Oryzias latipes: one gene and its partners. Each later gene encodes a partner of the first gene's protein in a complex. Links are inferred from orthologs where the notes say so. Each region holds a gene or a part of one and is shown on either strand. Other genes may lie near its edges.

Region 1 (3,230 bases):
CTCACCCAGAGTCAACTCGCAGTTTCTTTAGTGTGTTCCAGATGACATCTAAGAACCAAGAGGAGTAAACTTTAATGTCTTTACTGAGCAAAACAAACAGAACTAAAACAGTTAATGGAATTGACTGAATAAGGAACAAAACTATAGTTAAAACCTGTTAAACTCACTTTCTCTGACGACACCTCCCTTCATGAAAGTAACACCCAGAATCACGAAAAGTAGACCAAGTTTGGGATTTGCAGGGCATCTACACACACAGAAAAACAACAATAAACCTCATTTATGGACCATTCAAATGAGCGTTTCTCAAAATGACACGATACTCACTCGACTGGTGAAGGTTTGTCAGCGGCTTCCAGGTTATTGATCAATATATATGTGTGATTTTTGGGGTCAATTTCAACCAGTTTCAAACCAAACACCTGAGCAAGAGTTAAAAAAAGAAGAACCTCACAAATGTGATCTACTGAGACAATAAATGAAGACAAGAATGCAGTCAGGTAGAACAAACCTGCTCAAAGGTCCGAGCTGCTCGCTTTATGATCTCAGGATAGATGTTTCTGTAGTCCTTCACCACGTGTTTCACAAGGTCTGAGAAGACATTAGCAGGCAGTGAGTCACCTCTGCAGCTGTCGCATGTTCAAACTCCCTATCCACTGCTCTAGATGCAGTGGCGGCGTGCTTTCCACCACTGCGTCCGACGCTTTGCTTTGCACTCGGTGACGTTGGCTTGGATGCAGCTGCTCGGCCATGGAAACCCCTTCCATGAAGCTCTCTGCGTGCTGGACTTGGGCTAACATGAAGCTCCTGGGAGCAGCCCGTTCTTTCACAAACGTTAGCACAAACAGTCTGCATGCATGAGGGCCTGATTTGATACACCTGTGTTCAGGGCAAGTGATTAGGACACCTGATTCTGATCATTTGGACGGGGGAGCCAGTACTTTTGGTAATATAGTACATGTCTTCATCACCAGTTACATCGTGAAGTGAAGCTTTAACTCTCATGGAAAGTTTACCAAAATGCTTTGCTGCTGCTCCGCCCCTTCAAATAGGGAGGTGGAACTTAGATGAAAGGTTGGTCCTCCATGAAGAGGCGTGACAACAGTCTGCTGCTCTAAGCTTCAACAAACATTTGATACCCTAACGGGTGTTCAACTTCAACATTACAGAATGTTTCAAACAGGTTTAAAGACAATGTTCACATTTGAAATGTAAGCATCTATGTACTGTATGTAATTCATTTCTTGTGATTGAAGTTGAAGGCACAGATCCCGACCGTCTGGGACTCCTTCAGCCTGGATCCCAAGACATGTCTGTTACTTTTCAGCATGTTTTCTTTTACACTCGTTTCTATCTTTGAAGGACCGTTCCAGCCGCTGAGAGAAATCAATGTTAACAACCACCAACACACTGAACTTCAGCTTCCTGTTGACTCCATGTTGTCCTCTGTCGTGTTCTGGGTTCATTTCCTGCAGCTGACACGATTTTACTAGTCTGATGAATTTGAGGAAGACCTAGTGTTTGGAGACCTTCTCCTACTTTAGTCAATGGGAAGTTAAAGACCCACTCCAATGAAAATGATGCTTTTGGTGTATTTAACATGTTCTTGTAGCAGTTCTCTCTTGATGGAGGACATATAGAAAGAAAGTTAAGTCTAAAAATGTGTCTCTGCGTAATTCTTTAATGGAATTGTGGTGAAGCAGAAAAAAACAATACTGTGGTTGTCTCATACAAACTACAATCAGGGGGCCACAAGCTCCCTGCCCCTTTCTGATTCATCCACTTACATACAAATAGATCCATTCATGAACTGTATGACTGGACAGCTACAACATTGCTCACCATTTTTGTTGCACCGCTAATGTTAGGTTGGGGTTGTGAGGGGTTGAGAGTGTAAACATAGGGATGATGGGACATGAAGGAATCTCACAGTCCCGCCCACAACTCAGAGGTAATGAACTCTGCTCTGCAGAAACTGTGTCCTAGAAAGCGACACAGGTTGTTGGATTTTGCCTGAAAAAGCATCATCCTAATTAAAAGACCAGTGGGAACGCTTTGACAACAGTGGAACTTTAACCAAGTCTCCTCTCAAAAGACTGCATGCGCTTCCTTGTCTTGACTGTAGGGAACCATGTTACCTGTTCACTAACAACAACTTTAAGTCACCAGTTTAATTAACAAACTCATAATTGCACTGTGAACTTTTCTTAAAACATCTCCAATTCTCTTACATCAATTCATTCTACAATCAGTATTTATAAAGCGCACACATTTTGTGATAAATACGAAAGCTTTTTAAGCAAACTAGATCCTACAAATATAATGTTACACAAAACAATGAGAACAAAAGCTAAATAACACAAAGCAAACTAAATTTAATTAGGCCTGGATATAAATCAGTCCTAAACGCCTTCCTGTGGTTCAAAATGTGGCGGTCAGAGTTTTGATGAAGACCTGGAAGAAATAAAAACACACATTCCCATTCGTCCTATTGTCCTGTCATGCATTAAATCTGCATTTTCCCACAGTGCCCTGTGCTCTCTTCCTTCCTGTTCACTTTGTACGCCAGTGACTTCCAGTACAACTCAGAGTCAGGCCATCTTCAGAAATTCTCTGATGACTCCGCGGTTGTCGGCTGCATTAATGGTGGGCAGGAGGAGGAGTACAGGGGACTTGTGGATGAATTCCTGAGGTGGGCTGGAGAAAACCACCTGCTGCTCAATGTGGAAAAGACCAGAGAGATGGTGGTGGACTTCAGGAAGAAACTTCCAGCTTCCCAGCCTCTCAGCATCTTTGGCAGAGAGGTGGCAGAGGTAGAGGAGTACAAGTACTTGGGAGTAATCATCGACAACAGACTGAGCTGGAAGAGCAACAGCACTGCTGTGTATAAGAAGGCCAGCAGCAGACTCCACTTCCTGAGGAGGCTGAGGTCCTTCAACGTGTGCAGCAAGATGCTTGAAATATTCTACCAGTCTGTTGTGGTCAGCACTCTGTTCTTCTCCGTTGTCTGCTGCTGGGGGGGGCAGCATAGCTGCTAGGGACAGCAATAGACTGAACAAAATGATTAGAGGCGCTGGCTCTGTAGTCTGATGTAAAATGGACACGTTTGAAGCTGTGATGGAGAGGAGGACTTTAAACAAGCTGGTATCCATCATGGATAATCCTGAGCATCCTCTCCATCCTGTTCTTGACGGTCAGCAGAGCGCCATCTCCAATAGGCTAAGGCAGCT
Region 2 (4,989 bases), on another chromosome or scaffold:
TGAAGGTGACGGACCACTGAAGACTGGATGAAGGTGAGGGACCACTGAGGACTGGATGAAGGTGACGGACCATTAAAGACTGGATGAAGGTGACGGACCATTAAAGACTGGATGAAGGTGACGGACCACTGAAGACTGGATGAAGGTGACGGACCACTGAAGACTGGATGACGGTGACGGACCACTGAGGACTGGATGAAGGTGACGGACCACTGAAGACTGGATGAAGGTGACGGACCACTGAAGACTGGATGACGGTGACGGACCACTGAGGACTGGATGAAGGTGACGGACCACTGAAGACTGGATGAAGGTGACGGACCACTGAAGACTGGATGAAGGTGACGGACCACTGAAGACTGGATGAAGGTGACGGACCACTGAAGACTGGATGAAGGTGACGGACCACTGAGGACTGGATGAAGGTGACGGACCACTGAGGACTGGATGAAGGTGACGGATCACTGAAGACTGGATGAAGGTGACGGACCACTGAAGACTAGATGAAGGTGACGGACCACTGAAGACTGGATGAAGGTGACGGACCACTGAAGACTGGATGAAGGTGACGGACCACTGAGGACTGGATGAAGGTGACGGACCACTGAGGACTGGATGAAGGTGACGGATCACTGAAGACTGGATGAAGGTGACGGACCACTGAAGACTGGATGAAGGTGACGGACCACTGAAGACTGGATGAAGGTGACGGACCACTGAGGACTGGATGAAGGTGACGGACCACTGAAGACTGGATGAAGGTGACGGACCACTGAAGACTGGATGAAGGTGACGGACCACTGAGGACTGGATGAAGGTGACGGACCACTGAGGACTGGATGAAGGTGACGGACCACTGAAGACTGGATGAAGGTGACGGACCACTGAGGACTGGATGAAGGTGACGGACCACTGAAGACTGGATGAAGGTGAGGGACCACTGAAGACTGGATGAAGGTGACGGACCACTGAAGACTGGATGAAGGTGACGGACCACTGAAGACTGGATGAAGGTGACGGACCACTGAAGACTGGATGAAGGTGACGGACCACTGAGGACTGGATGAAGGTGACGGACCACTGAGGACTGGATGAAGGTGACGGACCACTGAGGACTGGATGAAGGTGACGGACCACTGAGGACTGGATGAAGGTGACGGACCACTGAGGACTGGATGAAGGTGACGGACCACTGAAGACTGGATGAAGGTGACGGACCACTGAAGACTGGTTAATGCCACATTCACTCTACAATAGAAAATGAGTGCATGCAGGCAGGACTAGAGCATTTACTTGGACTATTAATATGTATAGCAGGAAATTAGGTTACTGGTATAAGTTATGTAAATAAACAGGTTTTTTTTCATAATAAAATGTTGAGATATAAAGAGAAAATAGTTTTATTTACAATACTATTTTAGACTACTCAAACTTAGTCTTAATAATTCTTCAGTTAATGTATTTTCTGTGTTTTAAATTGTTTATTTTGTACAGTATTTTAAAAAATAATATTTCTATAACTATAGCTAGTATTGTAACAACCCAGATGGTAAGTCACTATAGCCAAGCTGCTTATTAAGTGGCTACATGAGAGAGCTGACCATGTCCCACACACCACACAACCCTGGATAGTTTCAGAGGGGAAGAAAGAGGCTAAGAAGATAAACCCCTAACCCCCAGGTCGCTACAGTATTTATATAAATTATGTATTAATTTTTCTAATAAATTGTTTGTTCATTTAGTGATTATGGTGTTTCTCGTTTTTTCTTGAGCTGTCGGTGAATTTGTGTGTGAAAACAATGTGATCTGCTGTTCTCTTCCCTGACGGCAGGTGGCAGTAATCAATAGCAATAACTCTCTGAAAGGCGGGAAGAAGAAGAACCGACACGGAAGTGCCTCGTGCTGGAGCGGGAAAGGTAAACATCTGTAAACTCTTGTGGATGTATGTTTTTCTGTGTAAATATTGTCAAATGAAGCGAATAGAAAGCAGAAAAGTCGCTCTGCACATTATTTAACAGAGATTAATTACATTTGATTTCAAACCACAAACCCAATAAGTTAGTTAACGGGTTTCCAAACTGCTAAACACATCCCAGTTTTTTTTTATCTTTGACATTTTGCGAGTTTATGCTGTTTGTGAAACCATATTTTACATTTGTATTTAAATAATGGTGATAACATTCAACTCTCGTGCCTTTTTTGTCATGCAAGCGTCTAGCAGTAGCTTTAAAACACTTTCAGAACATTGACATAGAGAACAAAGAGTAAATCCGTTTAACAACGACTTAGGTTACAAAAGTAAAAAACAACAAAAATTAACTTTAGGTTATTCTTTTAAGCTGAGACAAAGGTTTTTTGTTGCAACTGGGACAAATATTGTTTAATGTCTGGTATATATGAGTAATTAATTCAAACATTTTTTATTAAACTTCAGGCTGGTATTTCCTTCAACACATCCAGCTAATAATCACATTGAGCATAGACAGACACGTGTAGATACAATATTTTATTTCAGATGTATGCTATAAGGAAAAATAGATAGGAAAAGAAAGATGAATGTTTGAAGAGGATTGAGAACAAGTAAAACACTTATAAGTGTCACCCCCCCTAAATACTGCACCCACTACCTATGATAGCCCAGGGGGGTATTCCAGAAAGCAGGTTATGCTAGCTCACACAGTAATGTTGTCTCATATTGTCTCATGTTGTCTCATATTGTCTCATGTTGTCTCATATTGTCTCATATTGTCTCATGTTGTCTCATGTTGTCTCGAGTTGTCTCGTGTTGTCTCATATTGTCTCATATTGTCTCATGTTGTCTCATATTGTCTCATGTTGTCTCATGTTGTCTCATATTGTCTCATATTGTCTCGTGTTGTCTCATGTTGTCTGATGTTGTCTCATGTTGTCTCGTGTTGTCTCATGTTGTCTGATGTTGTCTCATGTTGTCTCATGTTGTCTGATGTTGTCTCATGTTGTCTCGTGTTGTCTCGTGTTGTCTCATATTGTCTCGTGTTGTCTCATATTGTCTCATGTTGTCTCATATTGTCTCATATTGTCTCGTGTTGTCTCGTGTTGTCTCATATTGTCTCGTGTTGTCTCATATTGTCTCATGTTGTCTCATATTGTCTCATATTGTCTCGTGTTGTCTCGTGTTGTCTCGTGTTGTCTCATATTGTCTCATATTGTCTCATGTTGTCTCATATTGTCTCATATTGTCTCGTGTTGTCTCATGTTGTCTGATGTTGTCTCATGTTGTCTCATGTTGTCTGATGTTGTCTCATGTTGTCTCGTGTTGTCTCGTGTTGTCTCATATTGTCTCGTGTTGTCTCATATTGTCTCATATTGTCTCATGTTGTCTCATATTGTCTCATATTGTCTCGTGTTGTCTCGTGTTGTCTCATGTTGTCTCGTGTTGTCTCATGTTGTCTCATATTGTCTCATGTTGTCTGATGTTGTCTCATGTTGTCTCATGTTGTCTGATGTTGTCTGATGTTGTCTCGTGTTGTCTCGTGTTGTCTCATATTGTCTCGTGTTGTCTCATATTGTCTCATATTGTCTCATGTTGTCTCATATTGTCTCATATTGTCTCGTGTTGTCTCATGTTGTCTGATGTTGTCTCATGTTGTCTCGTGTTGTCTCGTGTTGTCTCATATTGTCTCGTGTTGTCTCATATTGTCTCATGTTGTCTCATATTGTCTCATATTGTCTCGTGTTGTCTCGTGTTGTCTCATGTTGTCTCGTGTTGTCTCATGTTGTCTGATGTTGTCTCATGTTGTCTCGTGTTGTCTCATGTTGTCTCATATTGTCTCATATTGTCTCATGTTGTCTGATGTTGTCTGATGTTGTCTGATGTTGTCTCATGTTGTCTCGTGTTGTCTCGTGTTGTCTCATATTGTCTCATGTTGTCTCGTGTTGTCTCGAGTTGTCTCATGTTGTCTCATGTTGTCTCATGTTGTCTCATGTTGTCTCGAGTTGTCTCGTGTTGTCTCGTGTTGTCTCGTGTTGTCTCATATTGTCTCGTGTTGTCTCATATTGTCTCATGTTGTCTCATGTTGTCTCATGTTGTCTCGTGTTGTCTCGTATTGTCTCGTGTTGTCTCATATTGTCTCGTGTTGTCTCATGTTGTCTCATGTTGTCTCGTGTTGTCTCATATTGTCTCGAGTTGTCTCATATTGTCTCATATTGTCTCGTGTTGTCTCGTGTTGTCTCATATTGTCTCGTGTTGTCTCATATTGTCTCATGTTGTCTCATATTGTCTCATATTGTCTCGTGTTGTCTCGTGTTGTCTCGTGTTGTCTCGTGTTGTCTCATATTGTCTCATATTGTCTCATGTTGTCTCATATTGTCTCATATTGTCTCGTGTTGTCTCATGTTGTCTGATGTTGTCTCATGTTGTCTCATGTTGTCTGATGTTGTCTCATGTTGTCTCGTGTTGTCTCGTGTTGTCTCATATTGTCTCGTGTTGTCTCATATTGTCTCATGTTGTCTCATATTGTCTCATATTGTCTCGTGTTGTCTCGTGTTGTCTCATGTTGTCTCGTGTTGTCTCATGTTGTCTCATATTGTCTCATGTTGTCTCATGTTGTCTGATGTTGTCTGATGTTGTCTCGTGTTGTCTCGTGTTGTCTGATGTTGTCTCGTGTTGTCTCGTGTTGTCTCATATTGTCTCGTGTTGTCTCATATTGTCTCATATTGTCTCATGTTGTCTCATATTGTCTCATATTGTCTCGTGTTGTCTCATGTTGTCTCATGTTGTCTCATGTTGTCTGATGTTGTCTCATGTTGTCTCGTGTTGTCTCGTGTTGTCTCATATTGTCTCGTGTTGTCTCATATTGTCTCATGTTGTCTCATATTGTCTCATATTGTCTCGTGTTGTCTCGTGTTGTCTCATGTTGTCTCGTGTTGTCTCATGTTGTCTGATGTTGTCTCATGTTGTCTCGTGTTGTCTCGTGTTGTCTCATATTGTCTCATATTGTCTCATGTTGT
Region 3 (5,027 bases), about 20 Mb from region 1:
TTGTTAAACCAAAGTGACACACTTACAACCCATGGTTTCTTCTTCTCCAGAAGCTCAATGACATCCAGATGTCTCTTCTTTTCATAATAACGGTTGACATCATGCTTGTACCTCTCATTTCGTTGTTTGGCCTTCTCCAAGAAGTTTGCCTTCTCCTTTACAACATTCTACAATGAAATATTAGAATCTCAAAAACCGACGAAACCCTCAGAAAACAGTTTTGCTCAAAACCCAGAAAACAAAAGTACAAAAAATAAACCATAAAGCTTTAACTATTACCTCCAATTCTCTTTCCTTGTTGCGGAAGTTTTTGAGCTCACAGTGGTACTCGTACATCTCTGGGGGTCCCACAGACTTCTCAGTTGCCTCCAACAACTCGATCTTAGACATTTTGGCAAACTCACCAACTTTTTCCTGTTGGGAAAAACACAACATGAAGGAACTTGAGCAGTTTTCTGTCTATTAAACCCTTGGCACTTTCACAAACACATACCTGAGGAAGAAACTGGCAGAGGTTGCCGACTTGAATTTGCAGAGCCTTGACCTCCTCTTCTACCGTTTTCTGGTTGCAGTGTTTCCCATTCAGCATCCAAAGGGACTGATTATTTTCCACATGGATCTCCCTGTTAATGACTATGTTACCTCCTGTTTTGTACCTTCAACAACAGAACAGAGACAGTTACAAAAAATAAGTATGTTTAAGGGCACCAATGTTAAGGAGCTGTAAGCTTTTTCTATAAAACAACTGTGGCTGAAATGTCTGTTTTTAAAAGAATGAGTGACTTTGTGGAAATTATTTCACATAACTTACAATTCAATCTCAATGGACCCTTTATGGCAGCCACGCTTCACATAAAGCCCAACCTGAAAAAAAGGTAAAGGAAGTCAAACCTGTTTAAAGTCCTTGCAGCAATTCTAACTTTTTTCCAAAAATGTATACATTTCTGTGCTTTTTTCTCTCCTTTTTTCCCTTTTTGTCCTTTTCTGTGTATTGAACATTGCAACACCCCCTTGTTTGTTAAGTGATTTATAGGTTTAGGTTTGTCCTACCGGTACATGTTTTTGCTTTGTTTGTATCATTGAACTCAAAATAAGGGGTAAAAAACGTCTATGTGCCATTTCGTTTTATTTCTGTAATGTCCCTGTTGTATTTGAGTGAACTTAAAATCTATAACAAACATAAGTTGGAAGCATATTTAATTGATAAGGACAAGTGTGAAGAATAGTTAGAAACTGCCTTTAACTTTTATTACACTAATGGTTTAAACTTAAGTCACTAAGCATGTATTATCATCTCAAAATTATATTACATTTGAAGAAAGCACAACCAAGACTGTTTTCTCATAGCATTCCTCATCCTCCCTTTTTCCTTTTTGTGTGTGCTGGTGTTTGTGCTGTTTGTGACACTTGAAGCTTCTTGACCTTCGAGCATCTCGCCTGCAACAACCTGTGGCCGTGATTTTCACACCACTGTCCAGTGTATGATCTTCTGAATATGCAAATGCAGGGTTCTTATACCAAGACCATCTCTCTGAGCTTCGGTGTTCAGACTTTGAATGCACTATATTCATCTGTCTGTCCCCTTCGTGTTTGTACGAAGTAAAACTTCCACAAAAGATAAGTTTTGTCTCTGAGTCATTATTCATTCGTTTCTGTGTGCAGCAAACTGAAGGGTACGACCTTAACCTTATTTTTATCTACAGTCCTGTTTAGAATGATCAGTTTCCTCACAACAAGTAAATATTTGGCCAAAGTTTAAGTGAGTCATGGGATGCAACATTGCTGAACTGTTCAAGGTTAAGGCTTCTGTCAAAATCTACCAGTTACTCTGATCTTTTATAGAGAATCTCATCAACACACTTCAACTAAATAAATCCCAACAGTACATTTACCTTATCTCCTCTCCCCAGAACAGCGGTCTTTCCAGCCAGGCCCAGACAGATGGCACAAACAATGCTGGACTTGCCAGTTCCATTTGCACCAACAATCATGTTCAGATTTGGTCCAGGACACACCACAGAGTAGTCATAGGTCCTGCCAAAGTACAGCGAAGACACCGGTCATTTTCCAGCCACATGCAGGAAAGTCACACTTTAATTCTTCAAACAAAAAACATCAACATTACGGGTTTTATCTGTTTTTCAACAATTCAATTAAATTAATGATACGAGAAGAAGATTAAAGCACAGTGACACACAACGCGATTTTAACACAATAAACATACATAAAGGTACTCGTAGAAACCTGTTTATGTGGTTTGTGGAACTGTAAAACTCATGCTTGACACTAGTACACTGAATGTTACTGAAGACTGAATCTCACATTTTCTAATACTGTTCAAAGATGATGCAGAAATGCAATGAAGTGTAGAGAACTGTGTTTTACACTATATTAATGCACTTTTCATCTATTCTGTAGATTCTGTCATTCTTGTTGCAAATCATGTGATGTTTTTTTCCCTTTATTGAATATTATGACAATTTAAGGATGTTGGAAGATTTCAGTTAACATCACTGAAAATAATTCAGATGACATTAAATTGGCACTTTCAGTTTTGGGTTGTCAAACTCTCAGACACAAATGTGACATTGGCTCTTTGCTTTTAATATTTTCCAAATTTTGTAAATTAAAAAAAGACGAAAAAATACATTTGAGTTTAAAGACGTAAGAATAACAATTACTGGTAGACTACATCATATCCGAACCTGACAAAAGAGTTTTCATTTTTCTAAAGTTGAAGTCGTTTAGAATTAAAATACATAACATACACAACTGATGAGTTCTACGTTAACGGAGCAAAAACAGCCCAGCTTACTGACTTTATTCCTCTTCTACAACATCGGTAAACCAAAACACGCTTCAGTAAAACATATCATATGTCAGCTTGTCAGAGCAAATGTAGAGGCTAAGCTTTTACGGTAGTTTGGCGTTAGCATAGCTAGCTTAACTAGTGTGACTAGTGAAAAGGAGGTGGAACTTACAGGAAGTTTTTCATGGTGATGCGCAGAATGGAGCCCTCCACAAACGGATGAGCTTCATCGACATCCCTGGTCTTATAGAAGGCCTTGGAAGGAGTCTGTGAACTGTTGTTATGGTGGCTGAGCCGCTGCTTCTTACTAGGCTCAGCCATGTCAACAGACACTGATATACTAGTGATGGGAAGAACAGTTTGCCCTGCCGCGCTTTCCCGAGGCAAAGCTGAAAGATGATTGGTGAAGATAGGTCACGTGTGTCCACATTTGATGACGTAAGATTCTAAACAGTGCCCCACCCCCCCCCAAAAAAATGTTTTACTCTTTTATACTGAGAAATAAAGTAACCAGTATTTGAAACATTCTGTACTAAATAGAAACACCTGTACATATTTAAACTGTTTACATTAAACAAACTCTCTCACAGTTATTAATTTTATACTAGTGCAACCTCCTCCAAGCCCCAAAAAAGGGCACTGTTTTTTTATTTTTTATTTAACCCTGTTAAATTAATAAATAAACACAATTTTAAAAAGATATTTGTAAAAGACAACTATTTTTGTTGTTGCAATGGGATCAGATTATGTCTTGAAGTGTGTGTGGTGCAGGATCTGGAGCAGCCCACCAGCAACTAATTGTTGTTGTTTTTAAGTTTAATTCAAACATGTTAATAATAAGATAAATATTCTCTATTACTTGCCTGGAAATAAAGAGGAATGTTTTAAGCCTAACTTGGAATGTAGAAACTGTGTTGGCCTCTCTTACATGAACTGGGAGCTTATCCCATAGAACAGGGGCTTGATGGCTAAAGGCTCTACCTCCAAATAAATACAACTGTGTATGATCCGCATAACAGTGACAATCAATAGTGGGCAGCGTATAAAGCATAAAGGGGAAGGGTCCTAGAACTGAGCCCTGTGGGACTCCGTAGCTAACTCGAGTTCCATGAGAGGACTGTCCATTTACATTAACAAACTGGTCCCTATCGAATAAATAGGATTCAAACCACTGGAGGGCAAATCCTCTGATCTCTATGTCATACTCTAATCTTTGGAGTAAAATACTGTGGTTGATAGTGTCAAAGCCTGCACTGAGGTCTAACAGGACCAGAATAGACAGTAGTTCCTTTTCTGAGGCCAATAATAAGTCATTAGAGACTCTATATAGTGCAATTTCAGTGTTGTGGTGTAGTTTGAACCCTGACTGAAAATCTTCAAATTGACTATTGTCCTGTAGGTGGCGGTAAAGCTGCTTAACTACCACTCATTCTATGATTTTTGAAACAAAGGGGAGATTTTTTTTCTTCTTTACTTTATTATAAAGGGGAGATTTGATATTGGACTATTGCAGGCCAGATTGCCGGGATCTAAATTGAGCTTTTTTAGAATAGGTTTCACAACTACATATTTAAAAGACTGTGGCACATAACTTGTTTCTAGAGAGGTATTTATTATACTTAATAAATACTATAATAAATAATAGTTGCATTTGATCAGGTGACTTTCCAAATAAATCTCCATTTCATCACTTCTCCACCATTCGCAGCAGTTTTGAATTCAGAGCAGCCTATGAACATGCCCGTTCTTAAAGAGAGACATAACTCATTCTGTGTTTGTGGCTTTGCCGTTGAGAGAGTAGTAATGAGTCTGACAACAGGAAAGCAAGCAAAACATGGAGAATCAAGAGCAAGAAAAGAATTCCATCTATAACCGGCTCTAAATGCAACCCGCACCTGAGAACTGAGAGAATCTTAAAACCAGAGCACATCATCACTGACTGAAACTGAGACACTTAGGCATTTTAAATGCCAACTTTCACTATGAATGATTAAAATCTTGTTTTTCTTGTTTTGCACATTTAAATTTATATTTTGTGTTGTGGCTGTTATGTTTTCTGTTTTTTCACTTTAAATTTGTTTAAAATGAAAAAGTCCAAACATTAGATAGTTTTGAGTAGGAGTGTAGTTTTTTCTATTTTATAATTTATTTCTTACATCAGCAGTTAACAAACAAAAGCATGTTCATATAAAGCACATTTTAATAAAAACACTTTTTT
Region 4 (4,846 bases), on another chromosome or scaffold:
GGTAAATGCCAGAATGTAGCTAAAGAGCAACATATTTTGCTTTCCAAATAAATAAACCCTCCATCCACAAAATCTTACATTTAAAAGTGTGCAACAGAGACATTCAAGACATCCACCTACACATAAATCTTTTTTTTTTTTTTCATTTTATAGATCATTTTCACAACAAATTCGGCTTCATTGTGGCCTGTAAATGCTGCCGGCTGAAATTATCTTCAAGGATTATGCAAATGAATGCAAATTATTGCTATTTTTAAACATTTATTTCAATATGCAACCTTTATTGATGTCTTCAGAAAAATAGACACAAACATTAGCCGCGGTTACATGTACAAAATGTTTTGATCGGATTCGAATTCAACCGTGTACATGGGCCCAGAAAAACTTTTTCCGATTATAATAAATGTTTACATGCGCCAGATGATCTTCTAAACGTGCTTTTATTATTGTTATGATTATTATGAAGCGCCTGCTTGCTCATTATTTATTTTTAATCTTTGTGGTCAGCTCTTTTTTTTCTGGGAGAACGGACCCGGAAGACGTTAGCGTTAGGAGTAGAAGGCTAACATGCGCTAACAACATTTAGCCTTGGATGAACATAAAATCCATGGGGGAAACGCCGCAATCTGCATCTTGGCTACATGTAAATATGTGGGAATAACATCAGCCTTTATTTTGTCGGGACACGAATGGAAACACAAATCCACGTGATTGTTTGAACGGTTTCTAAGGACTGAGCGACATTTCTGCTTTAAGCACACACCGCCCCAAAGCCGCTGTGTGCTCTGCTCGAAGACACAGTTCTACTGGGAGACCCGGCTCTCCTGAGTTTAGCAGCTCGTTCACCTAGAGCTGCAGTCCAAAGCCTCCCACTCATAGCACACACGTTACAAAGCACCCTCTCCTCCCCTCAAACACAAAGCTATAAGTCTGGCTTCTCTGCTCAGAGACACGGTTCACTCGATCCGATCAACAATCGGCATAACCCACCTATCTCGATTGGAAAGAAATTTTGATCAGAACAAGTCTGATCGGGGCAGAGTATTCCGAACGGCGTGTTTACATGACACATTTTTCTTCCGATCAGGTGTTCTTTCCAATTACTTTTGTCCATATAAACGCAGCTAGTAAGATAAACACAGATTTTGAAAAATGTTTTGAGTCAATAAATTGGAAAATTATGCAGTTTATACTTGTTGCATCTTAATATAAAAATGATGGGTGGAAAGGTGTGGATTTTACATGGTCTATTGCACTTTGTTTCATAAATGTCTCGAATTCTGCACTTGTGAAGCATGTCCCATTGTCTGATACCAACATCTTTGGAGGACCAAACACACTGAAACTCTGTCGCAATTTTTCAATGGTGATTTGTGAAGTAGCTGATTTCACCGAATAAATGGTTTTAGGTCATAATGGTTCTTCATCAGTAATACAAGCTCATTGAAGGACTTGTCTTTTGGCTTGTCTGGGCTGAGGAGGTTCGCATAAACTGTAGGTCGGTGCTCCAACTACACTTATCAACATTGCCTTTTGTCTGTCTTGATTGTCTATTTCATTGGCCGCAAAAAACTGTTCAAGTATTTCTGTATACTTAACCCAAGTTTGAGTCTTTGGATCAAACGCTGCTGGCGTGCCAATTGTTGCCATGCTTCACTTCTGTGGGAGGTTAACCACGTATCTTTCTGCTGCTTCTTTCTTCTTTTCTTTCTCTCTCTTTTTCTAAGGTCTATGGGCTTTTCTCCTCCTTAAAAATCCTCTTCACCAAAAAGATGTTGCATCTTCATATAAAAATGAAGGTCCCACACATTGAACTGGGTGCAACAGTTTTTCATTTGCATAACAGAACCTTTCTGAACAGTGGATGCTGTCCACCATGGTTCCTGACTTCTTCGTCTGTCACCACACGGCGCTACAACTCAATGAAACTTGTAGGCTTGCCCTCTGGTGGCCACTTACCTAATTACAATACAATATTAAACCAACAATCTTCTCAAATTCAACATACCACATTACTAAAAAATAAAAAAATAAATAAAAAAAGTAAGATGCGCTTTCAAACAATGCCTCAGAAATCAGTGAAATTATTTTATAGAGATATAAAAAAAAATTCAACAGCCTTACTTTGTTTTGAAGCGTTCCCGATGCTGTCCTTAAAGGCAGCCACTTTCTGATGGCTGTGGATTTCATCATCAGAAAGTCGGGCTATTCTCTCTGAGAACTGCTCCTTCACTTTGTCAGAAAGGCCGAACAAGGCCTCTGGTTGCTGTGCATTCACCTGCACCAAAGTGAGGCATATTAGATCATTTCTTTTTAGACTTATAAAAATGAGTCTGCGCTTTACAAACACGGATCTAATCAAAGCACAAACAAGCAAAAATAGGGACAGATAACGCTGCAGTAAATGACCTAAATGAATTATTGTTTTTAAACCTGATCCTCATCATAATAGTTACCTCGGATGTAACTTCTTTTGCGATGTCTACAAAGATGTTAATCTCCCTGTCCAGCTTGGCACAGTCCAGGATCATGGTCTCCAGCTCTTTGATGGAAGAGTTCATCTCTTCATCTGAAATGTAAAAAATATACACAAATATAAACTCAATTATTACAAAATATAAGTGCACGCTGAATGGAGCTTGGTCACATGTTTAGCATAATTGCGATAAAACACCATGTTCTTGGACTGCTTCACTATACTAACTGATCCTAGAAGAATAAAACCCATTTCTGATCACGTTTGCAGAAAATGATGCAGGCTCCGAATGTTTACCCTGAGATTCCACCACATCTATGGCAACGTCCGTCACGATGTCCATCCCCGTCGCAATGTCTGCCAAACACGATTTTAAATTGGACAATGCGCCGTTGACAGCACTCAGAGACATTGTGTTCGTAACTTTTATCCCTAAAGTCCAAAGAAAAATCACTGTGTGTTCACCGTTATTGATATCTTCCTTATGTTAACGGCTAGCTAGCTAACTGCTAGCCTTATACTCGCGCCGTCTTGCGAAAAGATGAGATATGCCAATGTATCTCAAAATAGAAAAAAAAACAAAAAAGATAAGTAACTATTCTTAATTCAAAGTACAACCAAAGATCAAACGATAACAAAAAAATAAGAAGGAAAAGGAAGAAAAGTAGTAAACATTTGAGATGAACGGAAGTTACAGTTTCACTTCCGTTTGTTTCTTCAAACTAAAAGCCATCAAATAAATTCATAAAGAAAACAACGAGCAGTAAAGAATTATACTGTATTTATTGATAAACAATACCACAAAATATTAGTATGGAAATGTTTTTGATTGAGCATTAAATGTACAGTTTATTAATACAAAACTTTATTGTTCTAGAAAATGAAATATGAACTACTTCTTGAAGCTTTTTTACATTTGACATTGTGGCCTTTTCTGGTTGAAATAAAAATGTATTTTTAACAAAACACATTTTGTTATAACATTGCAGAAACAGATTATAAGGCTGGGCATGAAATGTATATGGGGGGAAAAAAAGCACATCCTAATTTCTGAACAATTAATTAGAGCAAAATGATTGTTGCTTCTACCACAAAAATCTTTGCCACTAGATCAAGACTAATATAAACAAAGAAAAGTACAGTACAAACAAAGACTGCATCTTCAGTTTGATGTCCTTGTCCGGGGGCTCACAAAATAGTTCTGAATTCGTCAAAAATGAAACTGGGTACATGAGCTTCAACCACCTTAAAACAGATAGATAATAAAAAGAAATGCATGTTAACAATCCTTCAAGTTTGTAAAAACAAGCTGTCTTAGCATGACATAGCAATTCTTTTTCTTCCAGATACCTTTAAAATAAACCACCTCTAAAGTAACTGTTTTCTTACCTTGCGTGACAGTTTTGTGTATTTTACATAGTCTTCAAGGAACATCAGGGCCCCCACAACATCAGAGGGCATTTCAGGGATTTTCTGGCTGTGACACCAGTAAAAGACAAATTTAAGAAAACTGCAAACAATGGGTTTGATCAAAATGTTAAACTTTTAGTTACCTTGTGCACTGCTCCATAACAGAGCGGATGAACTGTCCAAGCAGAGCAAGGAAGTGCTGTGTGTATCTGGAGTGGAACTGCTTGAGCAGGGTGAGCAGACCCAGCACTAGTGGGGGCCAGTCGACAGGATCGGTTGCTTTCTTGCAGGTCATTCCTTTTACACAGAGAAAATCCTTAACTTGGCGTGTACACAGAAAAAGTCACCACAGAAATTCACAGATTCCAATCCATCAAGCTAAGATAGCGAGAAGTGAAACGCACCTTGATTTTTGTTGTACTGAAGTTTAGGCAGCTGAGCAATGATAAACAGGAGGTTGATGATGGGGAAGTAAGGAAGACGCTTTGTGGTGATGTAAATCTGTTTGAACCAAAAAGAAATAAACATTGTTTACTGGTGAAATGTGGCATTTTTAACAGGCTAATTAAAATAAAATAAAACCTTGCAAACCTTGCTGAGCGGGTTATGAATTCCAGCAGCTTCTAGGTAGGCAGTGATCTCATACAATAGAGTGTTTTCTTCTTTAGGATAAGGGAGAGATGGATCCTGGTAGTGTGCTTCTATGTCTGCCAGAAGAGACCTAACAAGAAGAAGAGATCACAACAGGTGGCAAAATGTAGCCTTAAGCTCACAAAAACACAATATGCTATAGTAACAAATGTTATCAGTTGTTAGAAATGAATGTATTCTAAAAAAAAAAAAAAGTGAGAAACACCTCGTGAACTACATCTCTAGGTACATATTTTCCATACAAAACTGCATAAAAAGAGCCTGAATTTGGCAGAAAACACAACACTTACTTGTTGAGGTTTTCCAGGG

What was found. Proteins that work in one complex are often made in the same cells at the same time.
Region 2: the proteins of non-structural maintenance of chromosomes element 3 homolog (region 1) and nsmce1 are in contact, whole or in part, in a crystal structure (PDB 7DG2), measured with the Xenopus laevis proteins. The link is inferred for Oryzias latipes from reciprocal best matches to the Homo sapiens genes NSMCE3 and NSMCE1. Residues at the interface, in XP_018121157.1 of Xenopus laevis: Gly57, Glu58, Val60, Gln61, Tyr62, Leu64, Ile65, Lys66, Gln68, Lys69, Val82, Thr100, Gln102, Gln103, Val104, Phe105, Gly106, Phe107, Asn123, Leu125, Gln126, Arg127, Val128, Gly130, Asp131, Gly132, Met133, Arg134, Asp136, Glu137; in NP_001083134.1 of Xenopus laevis: Ile5, Glu7, Gln10, Arg11, Leu13, Gln14, Ala15, Met17, Ser18, His19, Leu30, His33, Leu37, His38, Leu54, His57, Leu58, Pro60, Leu61, Phe62, Met63, Val84, Asn86, Ile88, Thr89, Met91, Ala92, Ser93, Asp94, Gln149.
Region 3: non-structural maintenance of chromosomes element 3 homolog (region 1) and smc5 share a complex: the UniProt entries of both Homo sapiens proteins name them as parts of the SMC5-SMC6 complex. The link is inferred for Oryzias latipes from reciprocal best matches to the Homo sapiens genes NSMCE3 and SMC5.
Region 4: non-structural maintenance of chromosomes element 3 homolog (region 1) and nsmce2 share a complex: the UniProt entries of both Homo sapiens proteins name them as parts of the SMC5-SMC6 complex. The link is inferred for Oryzias latipes from reciprocal best matches to the Homo sapiens genes NSMCE3 and NSMCE2.

Annotation. Positions count from the first base shown.
Region 1 is NC_019865.2:30,993,254-30,996,483, forward strand, and holds part of non-structural maintenance of chromosomes element 3 homolog, read right to left. Parts: intron 592-3,230; coding exon 512-591; intron 423-511; coding exon 328-422; intron 248-327; coding exon 168-247; intron 49-167; coding exon 6-48; intron 1-5. UniProt on the Homo sapiens protein: Component of the SMC5-SMC6 complex, a complex involved in repair of DNA double-strand breaks by homologous recombination. The complex may promote sister chromatid homologous recombination by recruiting the SMC1-SMC3 cohesin complex to double-strand breaks.
Region 2 is NC_019859.2:37,084,404-37,089,392, reverse strand, and holds the start of nsmce1 (non-structural maintenance of chromosomes element 1 homolog), read left to right. Parts: upstream 1-1,805; 5' UTR 1,806-1,916; intron 1,917-4,989. UniProt on the Homo sapiens protein: RING-type zinc finger-containing E3 ubiquitin ligase that assembles with melanoma antigen protein (MAGE) to catalyze the direct transfer of ubiquitin from E2 ubiquitin-conjugating enzyme to a specific substrate.
Region 3 is NC_019865.2:11,201,177-11,206,203, forward strand, and holds the start of smc5 (structural maintenance of chromosomes protein 5), read right to left. Parts: upstream 3,185-5,027; 5' UTR 3,131-3,184; coding exon 2,982-3,130; intron 2,035-2,981; coding exon 1,893-2,034; intron 865-1,892; coding exon 812-864; intron 657-811; coding exon 494-656; intron 415-493; coding exon 280-414; intron 168-279; coding exon 27-167; intron 1-26. UniProt on the Homo sapiens protein: Core component of the SMC5-SMC6 complex, a complex involved in repair of DNA double-strand breaks by homologous recombination.
Region 4 is NC_019874.2:13,948,024-13,952,869, reverse strand, and holds the start of nsmce2 (E3 SUMO-protein ligase NSE2), read right to left. Parts: upstream 3,185-4,846; 5' UTR 2,889-3,184; coding exon 2,774-2,888; intron 2,570-2,773; coding exon 2,457-2,569; intron 2,279-2,456; coding exon 2,125-2,278; intron 1-2,124. Other genes in the region: washc5 (WASH complex subunit 5), read right to left, coding at 3,665-3,721, 3,866-3,953, 4,030-4,183, 4,291-4,387, 4,478-4,607, 4,828-4,846. UniProt on the Homo sapiens protein: E3 SUMO-protein ligase component of the SMC5-SMC6 complex, a complex involved in DNA double-strand break repair by homologous recombination. Is not be required for the stability of the complex.